Linked DNA regions of Arabidopsis thaliana. The protein of the gene in region 1 interacts with the protein of each later gene in a pairwise test. Each region holds a gene or a part of one and is shown in the gene's direction. Other genes may lie near its edges.

The links. The genes of interacting proteins can lie anywhere in the genome.
Region 2: the proteins of MORF3 (region 1) and ADA2B interact in binary tests that used the Arabidopsis thaliana proteins (3 or more experiments, as listed by UniProt).

Annotation. Positions count from the first base shown.
Region 1 is NC_003074.8:2,141,970-2,150,000, reverse strand, and holds MORF3 (plastid developmental protein DAG), read left to right. Parts: upstream 1-4,193; 5' UTR 4,194-4,257; coding exon 4,258-4,637; coding exon of another isoform or gene 4,638-4,641; intron 4,642-4,736; coding exon 4,737-4,834; intron 4,835-5,088; coding exon 5,089-5,154; intron 5,155-5,246; coding exon 5,247-5,437; 3' UTR 5,438-5,617; downstream 5,618-8,031. Other genes in the region: IBR3 (acyl-CoA dehydrogenase-like protein), read right to left, coding at 59-268, 356-440, 611-753, 839-1,036, 1,117-1,358, 1,432-1,549, 1,631-1,729, 1,845-1,964 and 6 more; AT3G06780 (glycine-rich protein), read right to left, coding at 5,762-6,367. UniProt on the Arabidopsis thaliana protein: Involved in organellar RNA editing. Required for the processing of RNA editing sites in mitochondria.
Region 2 is NC_003075.7:9,261,524-9,269,554, reverse strand, and holds ADA2B (ADA2 2B), read left to right. Parts: upstream 1-3,397; 5' UTR 3,398-3,779; coding exon 3,780-3,829; intron 3,830-4,272; coding exon 4,273-4,328; intron 4,329-4,415; coding exon 4,416-4,588; intron 4,589-4,711; coding exon 4,712-4,777; intron 4,778-4,867; coding exon 4,868-4,993; intron 4,994-5,090; coding exon 5,091-5,166; intron 5,167-5,255; coding exon 5,256-5,304; intron 5,305-5,382; coding exon 5,383-5,402; intron 5,403-5,653; coding exon 5,654-5,873; intron 5,874-5,955; coding exon 5,956-6,166; intron 6,167-6,246; coding exon 6,247-6,471; intron 6,472-6,558; coding exon 6,559-6,750; 3' UTR 6,751-6,934; downstream 6,935-8,031. Other genes in the region: NAR1 (ferredoxin hydrogenase), read left to right, coding at 1-66, 140-292; AT4G16430 (basic helix-loop-helix (bHLH) DNA-binding superfamily protein), read right to left, coding at 553-1,956; AT4G16410 (uncharacterized protein), read left to right, coding at 6,979-7,536; AT4G16400 (uncharacterized protein), read right to left, coding at 7,453-7,489, 7,727-8,031. UniProt on the Arabidopsis thaliana protein: Required for the function of some acidic activation domains, which activate transcription from a distant site. The exact mechanism of action is not yet known.

The DNA of each region.
Region 1 (8,031 bases):
AATCCTTACACTCTTTGTTACTGCAAGCCCTGAATCTGTGAATCTTTTGTAGTATTACCTGAGCAATCTCGAATCCTCGGCCTTCTCCAAGGAGAATGTTCTTCGCCGGGACAACCACATTTTCAAAAGAAATTTCAGCATGTCCATGAGGTGCGTCATCAAAACCAAACACTGTGAGAGGCCTCTTCACACTTATACCTGGAGTCCGCATGTCCACTAATATCATAGACTGCTGCTTATGTTTTGGGGCGTTGAAATCAGTTTTTCCCTATATAGCACAGATATGAATTCATGTGTGTGTATTTACATATATAGATAGATTAAGAGAGAAATAGAACAAGGAAAGAGAACTAACCATGAGAATAAGGACTCTGCACCTGGGATCCATAGCTCCACTTGTCCACCATTTTGTGCCATTAATGACGTATGAATCACCTTGTCTATATCAACATCAGAATTAGCTATAAGGAACATTGCGGACTGAGTCTCATTTTTTGGGAGTTACCAGTAGAAAAATTGAAGATGACATATAGCTTTCAAATGTTTTCATTTTTTTGTTCAGTTGAGAATTCGAATGAAAGTAGATATCAATATAAAGAAAATCTCTTACCTTCGGATAGAGCATTCAATATTGGTTGCATCAGACGATGCAACTTGTGGCTCAGTCATAGCAAATCCAGAACGAATTCTTCCCTCGAGCAACGGAATAAGCCATTCAGAAATTTGTTCTTTGTTACCATACCGCAGTATCACCTACAAGATAGTACAGATTATATAAATACAAGTAACAAGCAATGAGACAACTCTTGGAACGGTAAACAACATCAGGCTTTTATACCTCCATGTTTCCAGTATCTGGTGCACCACAGTTAAACACCTGTGGAGCCCAAACAGAACGACCCATGATCTCACAAAGGTAACCATACTCCAGGTTCGTGAGGCCCTCACCAAACAATTGATCAAAAGACTTGCCCGAGAGGTTATGTTTATTCTCGGTAGCCGCCAGTTCTCTTCTAGCTCTAGCAGCACTATCTACCTGCAAGAACCAAGAATCAATAAGTACAGTCTCAATCAGGGTAAAAGTAATAAGAGATTTGTAGCGAAAAAGATGCATACAGGAACAAATAAGTTCCATAGGCCTTCTCTCTTTGCCATTTCCTTTAACTTTTCCTCCTGAGGGTGAACGGTCCATCGCATATCTGATTGAGCAAGTTTGGAGAACTCGTTTTCCATTGGGTAGATATGAGTTTCCATAAACTTGATCAACTTCTGCCTTAACTCCAATACTTTTCTGTTGGGGATGAATCTCCCGCTTCCATCCACAAGGCTTTCATACGACGGAGACACGTCTCTTTGAACTGCATCCATATATAAGAAATGTAAAATAAACAGTTATCCTTAACAAACTTGAATCTCAAAGAGGTCGATTACCAGATGGAGGGTGTTCTGGAAGAACATTTTCACGTGCAATATAACCCAAGGCAGACTCTACAAGCTCATTAGCTTGAACCCCTGTATTTCGCGCTCTTTCACCGGCAGAAGCATTCCCCTGCATGATCAACACAATGTCAATGGCTCTACAACTGCATAATAAAGAATCTTAGAATTCAAAAATATGCCCGGGGAATACCATTAACCATCTACTGTACACCCCTGTGTAGATTGAAGCAGCCCGAAATAAGGAGAACGCTACGTAGAACTTCCAGTTTGCAGCAGGCCATGGTTTTCCCTAAAGTTCATTTGCCAATATGTCACTACAACAGAAATTGAGAAAATATAGGCAATGTACAAGGAACACCTGACTTGATTCCTTTTAAAGACTACATGTTGTTGCAGGACAATACCGATGCAGAACAGTATTCTAAGAGAAATTCTGGCATCGAAAGCATTCCTTCTGGAAGCCCAGTAGTTTCAAAACCTTCACTAACATGCTCCTTATCGAGCTGAACATTCACAATGTAATGCTGCCAACACAAATGAACTGTATATCAGAGCAGGAAGCAAAGAAAACTGCTTTATGAGTACAATACAACAAACAAGAATAGGTTATTACCATGCAGCTGTATGCAACATCACACATTTGGTTCCCAAGCGTGGACAATTCCCAGTCAATTATTCCAATAACTCGATCCTACAGTTTAAGATATTTTCAGTTAAGTCTCCGAGACTATCCAAGGATCAGAAAACAAAAGATCTTGAAAGTATTAAGACCTCAGAAGGATGAAAAACGAGATTGTCAATGCGAAAGTCTCCATGGACAAGGCCTGATGTTGCTCCAGTTGAATCTTCCGCGGGGATGTTTTTGCGTAACCAATCAACAAGCTCAAACATCTTTGGATTCCTTTCAGGTTTACCTTCACTTGTTGAAGCCAAATATTGTTTGAACCACCTATCTATCTGAAATGGAGGTATCCAAAAGAAAAAACTTTAGCAAGAGCATATAAGCATTAAGAGAACATCAAACTAGTGAGTAGTGATTTGGAAATTCACCAGCCCCAAATAAAGAACAAACCTGTCTTTTGCAGTAATTGCCTCGCCGACCATATTTCTCAAGACCAATGGCATCCACATCAGCAGAGTGAAGAGATGCCAAGGCTTTGGCGGTTGCACGATAGATCGCATTTCTCCTTTCAGGTGCTACATTCTAAATCAAAACCGATGAAACACACACAAATTTACACCTTTCGTTTACAATGAGTCACATCTCAAGCTAAAAAAACCGTACATACACATTCACATAACAGAGAATATCTTACCGGCAACTTTGGATCAATGAAAATACGTCCTTCCATAAACTCCATAATGTAAAAAGCAGTCCCAATGACAGCAGGGTCAGTGCATAAGCAGAAGACTTTAGGAACAGGAACCTGTGTATGTTCACCTAAAGCCCGAAGCACCTACATAAACCAACCACCATCAAAGTATTAAGCAAAAAAAGCATCTACCTTTAGTTGATACCGTATCTCTTATAAGCAGCATCACAAAAAGTTACAATGATTCTGCATTTCAAAACGGTACTAGAAACAACAAAATTTCATCTTCTTCAAAAATCGAGTATGAACAGTTACAATGAATTTTACAGAGGTAAAGATTATTAATTGATTGATACCTGAAACTCTCGATCAACAGCATGAGCAGATTGAAGAAGCTTGCCAGGAGGCTTCTTCCTCAAAACGTATCGTTTCAAGGAACTCCCTGAGCCAACCTCTATCAGAAACGTTGGATTCGACTGCCCATGTCCGAACTGTATGTAAACCAAACCAAAACAAAACACAGTCAGATAAAAGTTTCTTTCTTACCGGAGAAAAAACCTCGGCGATTGGAAAACATACCTGTGAGACTTTGAATTGGGAAGGGTTGGTCGGAAAGCCAGAGACGTTGTCGGCGGCAAAACGAAACAAGGCATCGTGATCGAAACGGTGAGCTGATTGGATACGTGTCACAAGATCGCCCGTGCTGCTTCCCATGATGTTCCTTCACTCTCCTCTATCTCGCTCTGCTCCTCAGAGATTCATCAACAAGAATAGCTCTCTAAAACACAAATACACGCATTCATACCAACAATTCCATTTACGGAAAGTCGCATAACCTTTCTTTTGGATAATTTTCTTTTTACTTTTGACCTTACAGCAATTTCAGAAATGTTTATCTACTTTTCTTATTTTTGGAGAGATAATTCTATGTTTTCTTTTTTTATAAATAGTAAATACAGTAACCATTTTGATTTTGATAATCATCGTTATTATCGTCATTGTGATTTTATATGCATCCAAAAAAAGCCAAAGATAATTACTAATTACTAACCATATATAGGTTGGAAAAGTTATCCATGAATTAACTTGATGGACATTTTGCTAACTCAAATCAAAATTTTAGATTAGGTGATTTGACTTAGGACGTCATATTCACATTAAGAAAGCTAATACAAAATGAATACGTTTTATAGCTAACGAGGACGAAATTTTCTTTCTGAAAACACTTAAGAATGAACAAACAATTTGACAAGCGATAATTGAAACATTTTTTTAACACTGAAAGTGTTTCAATTAGGAGTGTTGAAGTATTTGACAAGAAGATTTAAAGTATTTTTCTGTTGGGAAACTTTTAACTACTAAACTAAGGAATTTAATGTAGAGAAATTTTTTAATAGCCCATCTAAAAAGTATAAATCAAAGGCCCACTAAGCCCATATAGTTTCTCAAAGCTTCTGCAAAGAGAAGGACCGAAGAAGAACAGAAGCCGAAACCCTCACCGGCGATGGCTCTTATCAGCACACGGCGAACATTATCGACACTCCTAAACAAAACCCTCTCTTCCTCTACTTCATATTCTTCTTCATTTCCTACGCTCTCTTCTCGTTCTCGATTCGCCATGCCTCTAATTGAAAAGGTTTCCTCTTCCCGAACCAGCCTGGGCCCGTGTTACATCTCGACCCGACCCAAGACATCCGGGTCCGGATACTCGCCGCTGAATGATCCTTCGCCGAATTGGAGCAACCGTCCGCCGAAGGAGACGATTCTTCTTGATGGGTGCGATTATGAGCACTGGCTCATCGTCATGGAGTTCACTGATCCTAAACCTACTGAAGAAGAGATGATCAATTCTTATGTCAAAACCTTAACTTCCGTCCTTGGCTGGCAAGTTCCTTTTCATTTGATTTTGACTCTCAAATGTTTTCTTGTGCATTTGGGGATTGACGGATTTGCATTTTGTGGGTAATAATGGTTAAACTATAGTGAGGAAGAGGCCAAGAAGAAGATTTACTCTGTTTGTACTTCGACCTACACTGGCTTTGGTGCTTTGATCTCTGAAGAGCTCTCTTGCAAAGTCAAAGGTATCAACTTCTCCATATTTGCAATTAGGTTTTTAAGCCTTTTTTGCTCTGACATAGCTTTTCTAGTTGTTTACTTATGATGTTGAGATTTATCGTAAAAGGCTTTCTCTGTTTGGTACTGCTCTGTTCAACAGCTAGGAGGAAACTTCTCTTGATCTTTGTTTTATCGCAGTTATTGTCTGTCTCTAGTACTATAAAATGAGAACATATTTTACTGTTTGAGAAATCTGATCTAGAGTTGTGTGATTCATTAGCATTGCCTGGTGTTCTCTGGGTGCTGCCGGATTCCTATCTCGATGTACCAAACAAAGACTACGGAGGTGTGTAACGTTTGTAGATTTTGTCTGAATGATTGGGTACTGAGATATGGTTCTTAATACTGATACCATCTGTCTTTGGCTCTCATGTTCAGGTGACTTGTACGTTGAAGGAAAGGTCATACCCAGACCACAGTACAGGTTCACGGAACAGCGTCATACTAGACCCCGTCCTAGGCCAAGGTATGATAGGCGCCGTGAGACAATGCAGGTTGAGAGGAGAGAGCCATCCATGGGTCTTCATTCTCCAGTAAATCCGGGAGAGTTCAACAAGCCCAGTGCTTAATATTAAACATGAACAATGCATTATGTAATGGATGGAGTTTATTAGGATTATGGTATTTACATGCTTGTCTTAAACACTCATGTGAGAGACTTTTCAGTTTTTATCCACTTAATCAAACAAATCAATCATCATTCATGTCTCTAATGATGACTAAACACTACTCTAAACAGAACAAATTATAAAAATCTAATGTGAACTTGCGAAGGAGAAATTAAATAAATATGTACAATGTAATATATATACACACGAGAGATCATATGATGTAATTGGAACCGAGATTAAGAATACTTTTAACCAGGAATCATCACCACGACCACGAATTTGTCAGCATACCGGAGATAATGCAATGTTCAACTTCTCCCTTTCACCGTCGGTCACGATCCTCACTATCCTCTTGAACGCAAAGTGCACACAATTAGACAACGCGATCCAGCAAATCACTTCATACACAAATTCCATCGCTGGATCTGACCAAGACGAAAACGAAGACCCATCCCAATTATCCCTCCCGAAACCACCGCCGCCGCCGCCGTAGTTCCATCCCTTTCCGCCTCCATCGTTTCCTCCGCCTCCAAATCCAAATGGACCGTCGCTACCACCGAAATCACCTTCTAACAGAAAACGACCAAAATCTCCTGCGTCATCTCCATCTCCACCAAACGAAACTCGCCTGGTTCGTCGCTTTTTACGGATCCGGCGAATTGTCTTATAAGAGCTAGATCTGACCGGTGGAGGAGCAATTGCATCGACGGGGAAAATAATCGCCGATGCTTGAACGATTCCTCCACCGGGAGATTGATGATCAACAACGGAATCGGCGAAAGAAATGTGATTGGCCAAATCCAACCTTTGAAGAAGAGATTTCCCAAACGCGATACCTTGCTTAGCCGTGCAAACTGTGACTGTATCTGCGATCAAAGAGAACTCCATGATGATCTACAAATCCGACGACGACGACGACCTTGTTCGAATTCTCTTTTTTCCCTAAAATCCACGAAATAGTTTTGGATTAGGGATTTTTACAACATTGCCGGCGAATTTGGGTAATGACGGGAAATAAATCAGGAAGCTGATTCGGATCCGAAGGAGGCGGATAAATTGTACACGTAACTGATTTGCGCGTTGAATAGAGAAGCCACGTGTCTTGCAGTATTCACACGTGAGTCGCACGCAAGAAGGGTCCATTAATACGTGAAAGCCCAAAGTTATGGGTTGGGCTATATAATTCATTGAAGAGTTTTCGTATCACATTTCTGAAAATATACGGGTTCTATTCATAAATATAAGGAAATATGTGTCAAAAAAGCAATATTGTGGGAGCAGAAGATGTGCTTGTTCATGTGATCATTTCTCAAGGAAATTTTTCTACATGGAGTAAATCGAGAGATTATAACAACGTCGATTTAAATTATATGTGATTTCTTAGAAAGAAATCGATGGCATTTCATATGTTTAAATGTTCTTACGAGGTTGTTTGGTATGCCTTCTCTGAAATTCACACCAAAAAAAAAATGAAGTAAAATTTATAGCATAAATGGCTAAACATTTATCGTCGGTCCATAACCTAATCCTTCTGCAGATTCATCATCGACAATTTTTATGACAAATCTCACGTGCTCACTGACATTTGTTTTTTCAGACTTTAAGAGCTTCCAAACTTTGTTTTTTCATACATTCGTTAAATATGTTTCAGAAATAAAAGTTCAGGAAGTAATTGACATTTTTTATTGATAATCTAGACGTTAGCATTCCCATGTGATTATTACTTTCGGGTGACCAATTACAACCGCTATGTTTGACTTAATACTGATTTTGAGCAGTAATGAATGAATTAGGTTTCGAATATATTACTGAAATTTGCTTGGCTTCGTTACAAGAAGTCAATTACAAGTAAAACTTTGTAGTTCAAATATTAATTTCCATGACATAATTTAAAGTACTAAAGTGTTTTTGAGTTTTTCCTTATAGATCAACGCGCATGTAATACATTTGGTACATACATACTTAGCTTATGTCCAAAGCCAAACTACTGTTTTTGTTGTCTCAAGTTATAGTCAAACATCAAACACCAGAAAACAAATCACGGAATCCGATCGGAATCCAATTTTCAAAGCAAAGCTAGATATATTTATAATGTTGTTACATATTTTGTCTCTAGACAAATACATACTCCTATACAATTAGACTTCCGAGGTTTTGGATTCAATCTATGCAAAATATTGTGCTAAAAAAACAATATAAAATTCTCTCTGCTTCAATATTTCAACTTTCATGTAAAAAATTATCTAAGGAAAAATAAAACTGTTCCATGTAAACTGTAAAAAGAGAAGAATAGTTGGTAGTCGCTTCATCTACTTTGATTGTTTCACATTTGTCATTTGATTTCAAATAAAGGCATAAAGTGTTTGTTTACTTCTCTTCTATATATGTATCACAAGTTCCGTGTTTCACTATTAAATTCTCTACATTTAACAGCTATCTAACATCGTAGATGATTTATCAAGTACTTTATTTTTTTAAAAAATCTTTATCATATAGTATTAGAAAACTTCACCTAACCACTCATCATATATGACAATCTACTATCCACGACA
Region 2 (8,031 bases), on another chromosome or scaffold:
CCAAAGACAGGACAGTCCCAGAAAGAACTGATCCACTCACTGGAAGCTACTTATATGAATGATACTGTAAGTTATCCTTGAGTCTCATAAATCACTTTTAACTAAGCTAGTAATAAATAACCTGCCCTTTTGGATCCAGACTTTGAATACAGATCCATACCAGAATCCAACGGCGAAGAGATTATTCGAGGAGTGGCTTAAAGAGCCTGGTTCCAACGAGGCGAAGAAGTACTTGCATACTCAGTACCATCCGGTCGTGAAAAGTGTTACGTCGCAGCTCAACAACTGGTAGACCGTAGACAAACTGGAAGTGTTCAAATTTTTTGACTGACAAGGCAACAAAAACGGTTCTATATTGTGTATTTAGATAGGAGATAAGTGTGAAGCTTTCTGCTCAAATCTTTATATGTAAAAGACAAATCTCAACATTACATATAAGGAAAATTACACGATCCTACTAAGCTGGAGTTTTTTTTGGTTGGCTTGCAATAGTACATTGATACAACCTCCAACACGGTTACACTTATTACATAGCAGTTACTGCTGTGATAGTTACTGTGATAGAGAGGCAAGGAGCTTGTCCTTCAACTGCTCAGCGGTGCAGCCACCCTGAGGCCGGAGAGTGAATGTGTGAACCACACCCTCCTCTGTGATGGCCACGTTGGAATCATGAGGCATAACTTCATTCTCCCTCAACGTTTGTATCACCTTTGAAACTGGATGAGTTTCCAACGGACAGCTTAGCCTTACAACTGCATCATCATGCCTCTGTTGATAATCAACCTCTGCTGGAGTTATCTGATTACTCTCCCTCCTCTTCATTATCTGCTTCTCTGTTTCATACACCCTGATTTTCTTCTGCATATCCGTGATGTAAGTGATTGCGTCTGCAAGGAGCGAAGCCTTGTCCATCTTGGAGATGTTAGGCACCACCGCTCTCAAAGCGTAGAATCTCTGGTTCAGCTTCTCCCTCCTCTGCCGTTCCGCTTCCACATGGTTTAGAGCCTCTTCTCTTCCATTTGCTGGTTTTCTCCCTCTCTTCCTCGGCTTTTGCTCGTCAGTTAGATACAATGTCTCATCTTTCCCTTGCTCATAACCATACACTTGATTAGAGCCTCCGATCGCTTGCACCTCATACGATTCCAATGAGAAACCCGTGTCATCCTCGGTCTTCGGGGAGAAATTAATACTCATAGACCGAGGTTTTGCTCCACCAAGACTCAGCTGTCGACCAAAGATTTTAGGAGCTTCTTTAGCCTGAACAAAGTCAGACCCACCAAACACTGATTTCACCATCTCAATCACACTCTTATCTTCTGGAATATGTCTTAAAGAACCAAGCTCCACAACTCCAGAATTCACTGGTACAGACAACACAGTCTGAAAACCAGCTGACCTAGCTAAGAAAGACCTAACCCTATAATAACTCAAGCAGCTAGGCAAATCTGCAGCCCAAAGAGGCTTCCCAGACACATAGGTTCCAGCAGGACCGTACTTATTGGTATCACACCTAAAGGAAAAGTACAAAGAAGCCAGATAAAACATGTCGAGATCAGTAAGAGCTCCTGATTTCACCAAACGATGATCTTCATCTGAACCAACGAACGACAAGTGAAGCTTGCGAAGCACACGTCTTTTGATCTCATCTTGCTGAGAGTAATCCTCACCTGAAGCACCCTTTTTGACACGGCAATGACCATCTCCCCAGATCAAGACACAACCATCAGAGCTATTAACGTTGGACGCTAGCCAGAAAAGAGCATAATCCCAATCAGATCCTTCAACAACGTGACGTAACCCTTGTTGGAGATTGGAATCACTTGGTGGTGAGACAAGCTTGGACAAGGCAGTGTTGGAAGCTGAAGCTGTTGAGATGAAAAAGTCGCAAGCTTCAGAGCCTATGGTGGATTCAACCATCGCTCGATCTTCTTGATTCTCCCAAAACTTTTGACCCATTTCTCCTGAAACGTTCATTGACATGGAATATACAAAAATTAGGGTATGGAATCAAATAAAATTAAAGGTATTTGGATTGAGATCGCTGCTTACAAATGAGATAGAAGATGATGGGTTTCGTGAGGAAGAGGAACGAGAATCACGTGATTCTTGCTGAGACACCGAATTTAGGGTTTGTTGGTGAAAAAGCAAAATCCTTTATAAAGGATATAACTCTAATTTATATTGCTGAGAAAGGAATGATCAAAGAGAAGACAAAACCTGAGCTTGGTTCACTTCAGATCTGTAGTGACTTGTTCTGAAATTGACGAAGAAAGAAGAAAAGAGGAAGAGACTATGCGAGAGAGAGAATATGGGTTTAATCGTAATTTAATACCAAGGACATCATTTCCTTCAGTTTTTTAACTGCAAACTATACTTTTGCCTTTTCTTACATACCAAACCACAAGTCATTGTGGTGTAATATCTATTCAACTACAAGTAAACCCATATCACTGGATTTTTGTCGAGATTATGTGTACATGTTGGGAAATTATTTCGTAGTACAACCTATTATGATGGGAGAATCGAAACTCGTCTTCTGAATTAACTTATCGCAAATCACCGTTAATAAGCGGAAAAGGAATTTACACATCTTACAATTATGCGCAAATACAATTGTTAATTGGATGAGTCATGCCATATTCTTGAGATGGTATGATAGGTATCATTACACCATGTAGTCAATCACGATTTTTTTGGATAATGTGGTTTAGAAGAACTAATCGCGTCTAATATAGACAAACTTATTCGTTCAGCAAAACAACAATTCGATATTTTTATTCGATTGACATGAGTCTTATAAAATTTATCACTAGATGTCTAATAAAAAAGGTTCAAACATTTCTAATAATTCGATTTTCGACCAAAATAAGAAACTTTAAATTAGCATCAAACTATCTTATATGGTTGTTTCCTTGCTTAACCTTCTTCCAAATCAATTTTTCAAATTAGCATCAATAAGATTTTAAAATACATCATAATGTTGTTCCGATAGTGTGTGACAACACTAACCATTTATTCCTATACAAGTTTATTTACTTGCTAATTCATTTACTGAAAATGTCCATGAACAAAATACCTAAAAACGAATAACCATAACCCAACCAAATATTAAAGACATCTCCATCAAGAAGAAACCCAAACAGTTTTTCAAACAAAAAGAATATTAGTATTTTATTATAATTTTATATATGATTAAATTTTTATTTTAGCGAACCAATTGAAAAGAGAAAAATATTATGATGGTTTGTATAAAGTATTTCATAGTTTAACGAGAAACATTCTACACTCTCTTTCTTTTCCTTTTATTATTTTTATTATTTTAATAATAAAAAATTACCAATAAAAATGGTCTATCTTAGCTTTTTTTTCTTCATTTTTTTTTCCCTCAACCACCATTCAACAATTAACATAAAAAATAATAGTTTTTTAAGTTGAAGTTATAAGAGTCAATTTAGTTTAAGTCATATGCTTTAGTAATAAGCATGACCGTCTAATCCCAAAAAATCTAAAAAGTACAGTGCCTTAGAAATTTCCTTTACCTCGACTTCCCTAATTTTAATCTTCTCGGTCGGAACTTCTGAATAATATTAGTAGAGATCCAAAACCTCACAAATTTCGACCGAGTTTTGTTGAATTCCGATTAGATCTTTCTTCCACGAAACCCCCCCAAGTACCCATTCCATCTTCTCCGGTGAGTCTCCCATGTTGGCATTACGCTAGGGTTCTTCTTCTCTGTGGTTTCGCATAACCCAATAATCCAATTTTCTACTTGGGCATCAATGGGTCGCTCTCGAGGGAACTTCCAAAATTTCGAAGACCCTACTCAGAGGTTTGTTCCTAATTCACTACTCTAATTTCCGATTTGGGGTTTTTGTGGATTTCTCTTTTGTAATTGCCAATTTGTGCTGAAATTGATTTGAATTTCAAGTTTCTTTGAGTCTGTGTTGTGCAATTGTCATTGATCTCTAGTTGGGACAATGAGCATGGCTTCAAATTTGTGGCTTTTGATAACTTTCAGTAGCTATAGTCTCCTCTATCTTCATCTATGTAATTGTGCCAATTTCTGCTGAAATTGATTGATTTTGAAGTTTCTTTGCATCTGCTTTGTGCAACAATCATTGATTTTTCAGTTGGGACAATGAGCATCGCTTAAAGTTTGTTGCTTTTGAAAACTTTCAGTAGCTATGTAGTCTCTTCTCTGTTTTCATCTGTGTAATTGTTTTTTCACTGTTGAAGCTGACATGAAAGAATCGTGTTATGCGTTTGTTGCAGAACGAGGAAAAAGAAAAATGCGGCTAATGTGGAGAACTTTGAGTCTACTTCTTTGGGTAAAAAAATACTTATCAAGGTTTTTTTTTTTTGTTTCTCCTGTCAAGATTCTTCTTTTACTCAACATTTTTTATTTGTGGAGACAGTACCAGGTGCTGAGGGAGGAGGGAAGTATAACTGCGATTATTGCCAGAAAGACATTACTGGAAAAATTAGGATAAAGTGTGCTGTCTGTCCAGATTTTGATCTCTGTATAGAATGTATGTCTGTTGGAGCAGAGATCACTCCTCACAAATGTGATCACCCATACCGAGTTATGGTTAGTTTTCATTTACTTTTCTTACCTTTTAGTTTGGAAAGAGTTTGATTCATTATACTTAGCGAAAATATCTTTTGGTTGAATTCTACCAAAGCTTAATATATGTTTCATTTGCTTTGTTAGGGAAATCTAACTTTCCCGCTTATTTGTCCTGACTGGAGTGCGGATGATGAAATGCTTCTCCTGGAGGTACCACTACTTCTTTTATCGTACTGATATGAAGTCTATAATGTCTGATTCTTTCAGTGAAAAGTAATTTCTTTTAATGTCTTTATTCAGGGACTTGAAATTTATGGCTTGGGAAACTGGGCAGAGGTTGCGGAGCACGTGGGAACGAAGAGTAAAGAACAGTGTCTTGAGCACTACAGAAACATCTATTTGAACTCACCATTTTTCCCACTTCCGGTATGCTACATCGATCTGATAAGATACCTATCTACCTCAGTAGTGCCAGCCTTTTGCAAGGTATTAACTAATTCAGGAGAAACGTTTATTTTCCCAGGATATGTCACATGTAGCAGGGAAGAACAGAAAAGAACTTCAAGCCATGGCTAAAGGACGCATTGATGACAAGAAAGGTATGCGCTTCTTTGCTTGATGGTTTTGATTCTGCGTTGTACGTGTTGCTATTTTAATTCTGATTTTGAAGTGGTTTCTTCTTTGGCAGCAGAGCAGAACATGAAAGAAGAGTACCCGTTCTCTCCTCCTAAAGTCAAGTATGTTTCTCGTTCTTCTCATGTACTGTACAGTGATAACCCTATAATTTTCTCATCTTTTGTTCAATTTTCTTGCAGAGTTGAAGACACACAAAAAGGTGAGTTCTTGCTTTGTATGCTATATCTGGTTCGTATATAGGTGTGCTTATCGTTTTGTTATTTACTTGCTCTAGCTTACACCAGTAGTTATAATCTAGTTAACCATCGCGTAAATGGAATCATCTACTTGTAAAGTAAGAAGCTGACTGAGCATAATTTTAAAATCCAAAAAGGCCCAATATTTGTCATTGTATTTATACTGGTAGATATTTTCTCCCTTTTTCTATGTTTTGACATTCTTTGTGGTTAGAGTCTTTTGTAGACAGAAGTTTTGGAGGGAAGAAACCTGTTTCCACCTCGGTAAACAACTCTTTGGTTGAGCTGAGTAATTACAACCAGAAAAGAGAAGAGTTTGACCCTGAATATGACAATGATGCTGAGCAACTCTTGGCGGAGATGGAGTTCAAAGAGAACGATACTCCTGAAGAACATGAACTGAAGCTGCGTGTGTTGCGTATCTATTCAAAAAGGTACAACATTTAAGATCAAAAGGGGAACAAAGTCTCTTCTTTTTGCTGTCCATTCTGACGCAGGTGAGTATGATGTTTGTAGGCTTGATGAGAGGAAACGTAGAAAAGAATTCATAATAGAAAGAAACCTGTTGTACCCAAATCCCTTTGAGAAGGACCTGTCTCAGGAGGAGAAAGTACAATGCCGACGTTTGGACGTTTTTATGCGTTTTCATTCAAAAGAGGAGCACGACGAGCTACTCCGTAATGTTGTAAGCGAGTACCGCATGGTGAAACGGCTCAAAGATCTCAAGGTAAGGACATTGCTACCCTCAAACTGTGCGTTTGGTTTCTTGGATTGGATGTGGCTCACTGTGTTGGATTGGTGGAGCAGGAAGCTCAAGTGGCAGGGTGTCGTTCAACGGCTGAAGCAGAGAGGTATCTGGGAAGGAAGAGGAAGAGAGAAAACGAAGAAGGGATGAACAGAGGGAAAGAGAGCGGTCAATTTGGTCAAATTGCAGGGGAGATGGGCTCTAGACCACCTGTGCAAGCTTCTTCAAGCTATGTGAATGATTTGGACTTGATTGGGTTCACGGAGTCGCAACTGCTGTCTGAATCCGTAAGTGTCTGAGAACTGAGATACTGAACAGTGTGAGATGAGTTTTCTGTCGTTGTAACTGAAAGAAGAAAGCTCTTTGTTTTGCAGGAGAAGCGTCTCTGCAGCGAGGTCAAGTTGGTTCCACCGGTTTATCTACAGATGCAACAAGTGATGTCACATGAGATATTCAAAGGGAATGTAACGAAGAAGTCGGATGCATATAGCCTTTTCAAGATTGATCCAACCAAAGTGGATCGAGTTTATGATATGCTTGTGAAGAAGGGTATTGCTCAACTTTAAGGCTTGTGTAGTGTTGTATCATATATATATATGTGTGAGCTCTAATGAGTTATTTGTTGACATTCCCTTGTTTATTACACCTTGTCAAAATTAGTTTGTAATAGAAAAACGATTAAGTTATCCACAGATTGTGAAAAGAGATAAGGTGAATCAGAGCCACACAATCTAAACCAAATGTTTTAGTATATAAGAAAGAATCTGACTCCTACAAGGAAAGGAAGAAGTGAGATGACGATGATGTCTCTCCCCAAAATGAGACTATCTTGTCTGCAACCACACCTCCATTTTACCAGTAGCAGATCAATAGCAGCAGCTCTAGCTTTTCCAAGCTCAAGCATAAGGAACAGAACATCATGTCTTGTTCGGTGTGGCTCAGCCAGAAGAAGATTGACTACGAAAAGTAGCAGAAACAGCAAGCTTGAAAGAGCACAACCTCCTCCTCTGGGTTTGGAACGGCACTGGAGATATGCTGTGGTTGGTGGAGTCTCTGTAGGGTTGATGATGGTTTTGGTATTGGGAATGGATGCAGAGAAAGCTATGGCGCTTGGACCAGAAGGTCCTTTAATGGAAGAGTTTTGGGACAACGTTAGAAGGTACGGTCTTTACGCTCTCACGGTTAGCACTGGAGCTCTCTCTGCTGTCTTTGAGCCCATCTTTGAGCTCCTCAAGAACCCAATCTCCGCCATTCTCATTCTACTCATCTTAGGTGGTAGCTTCTATATCGTCTCTCAAGTTGTTTCTGCCATGATTGGTGTCAACGAATTCGCTTATCAATACAGTTATTGACCAACTATAGTTTGTTTTTGTTTTCTTCATTAATACTCTGCTTTTATGCTCTGTTTTTTTTTATCTATTTTAAATTTTGTTACACAATCATTCGACATTTTATTTGACATAAGTTACACCAAATCATTTACATTGTTAAAGCTTTTTAAAGATGGATATATACTTGTGTGCAAATCTTTGTCAGTCGTACTTGTGAGAATCCTCAGGCCGTCCGGCGACGTAATCCATCAGTCTCTCGCCGGTGGCTTCTTCTGAAAGCTGTTGAAAGCCACCAAAGGTGATTGCCATCGCTAAGAAGGCGGCTGTTGACGCAAACAGAGGCCAGAAATAGGCTAAAATGTTCAGAATCCTTGGTGCTGCATACACGAGAGACGCCACAATCACGCTCACCATGATTGTCACCATGAAATGGAATCTGTATTCCATGAGCTTTGCCTGGATCTCCATTTCCTTGTGATTGAACTTGGTAAGAGAGAGAGGAGAGAAATGGAGAGA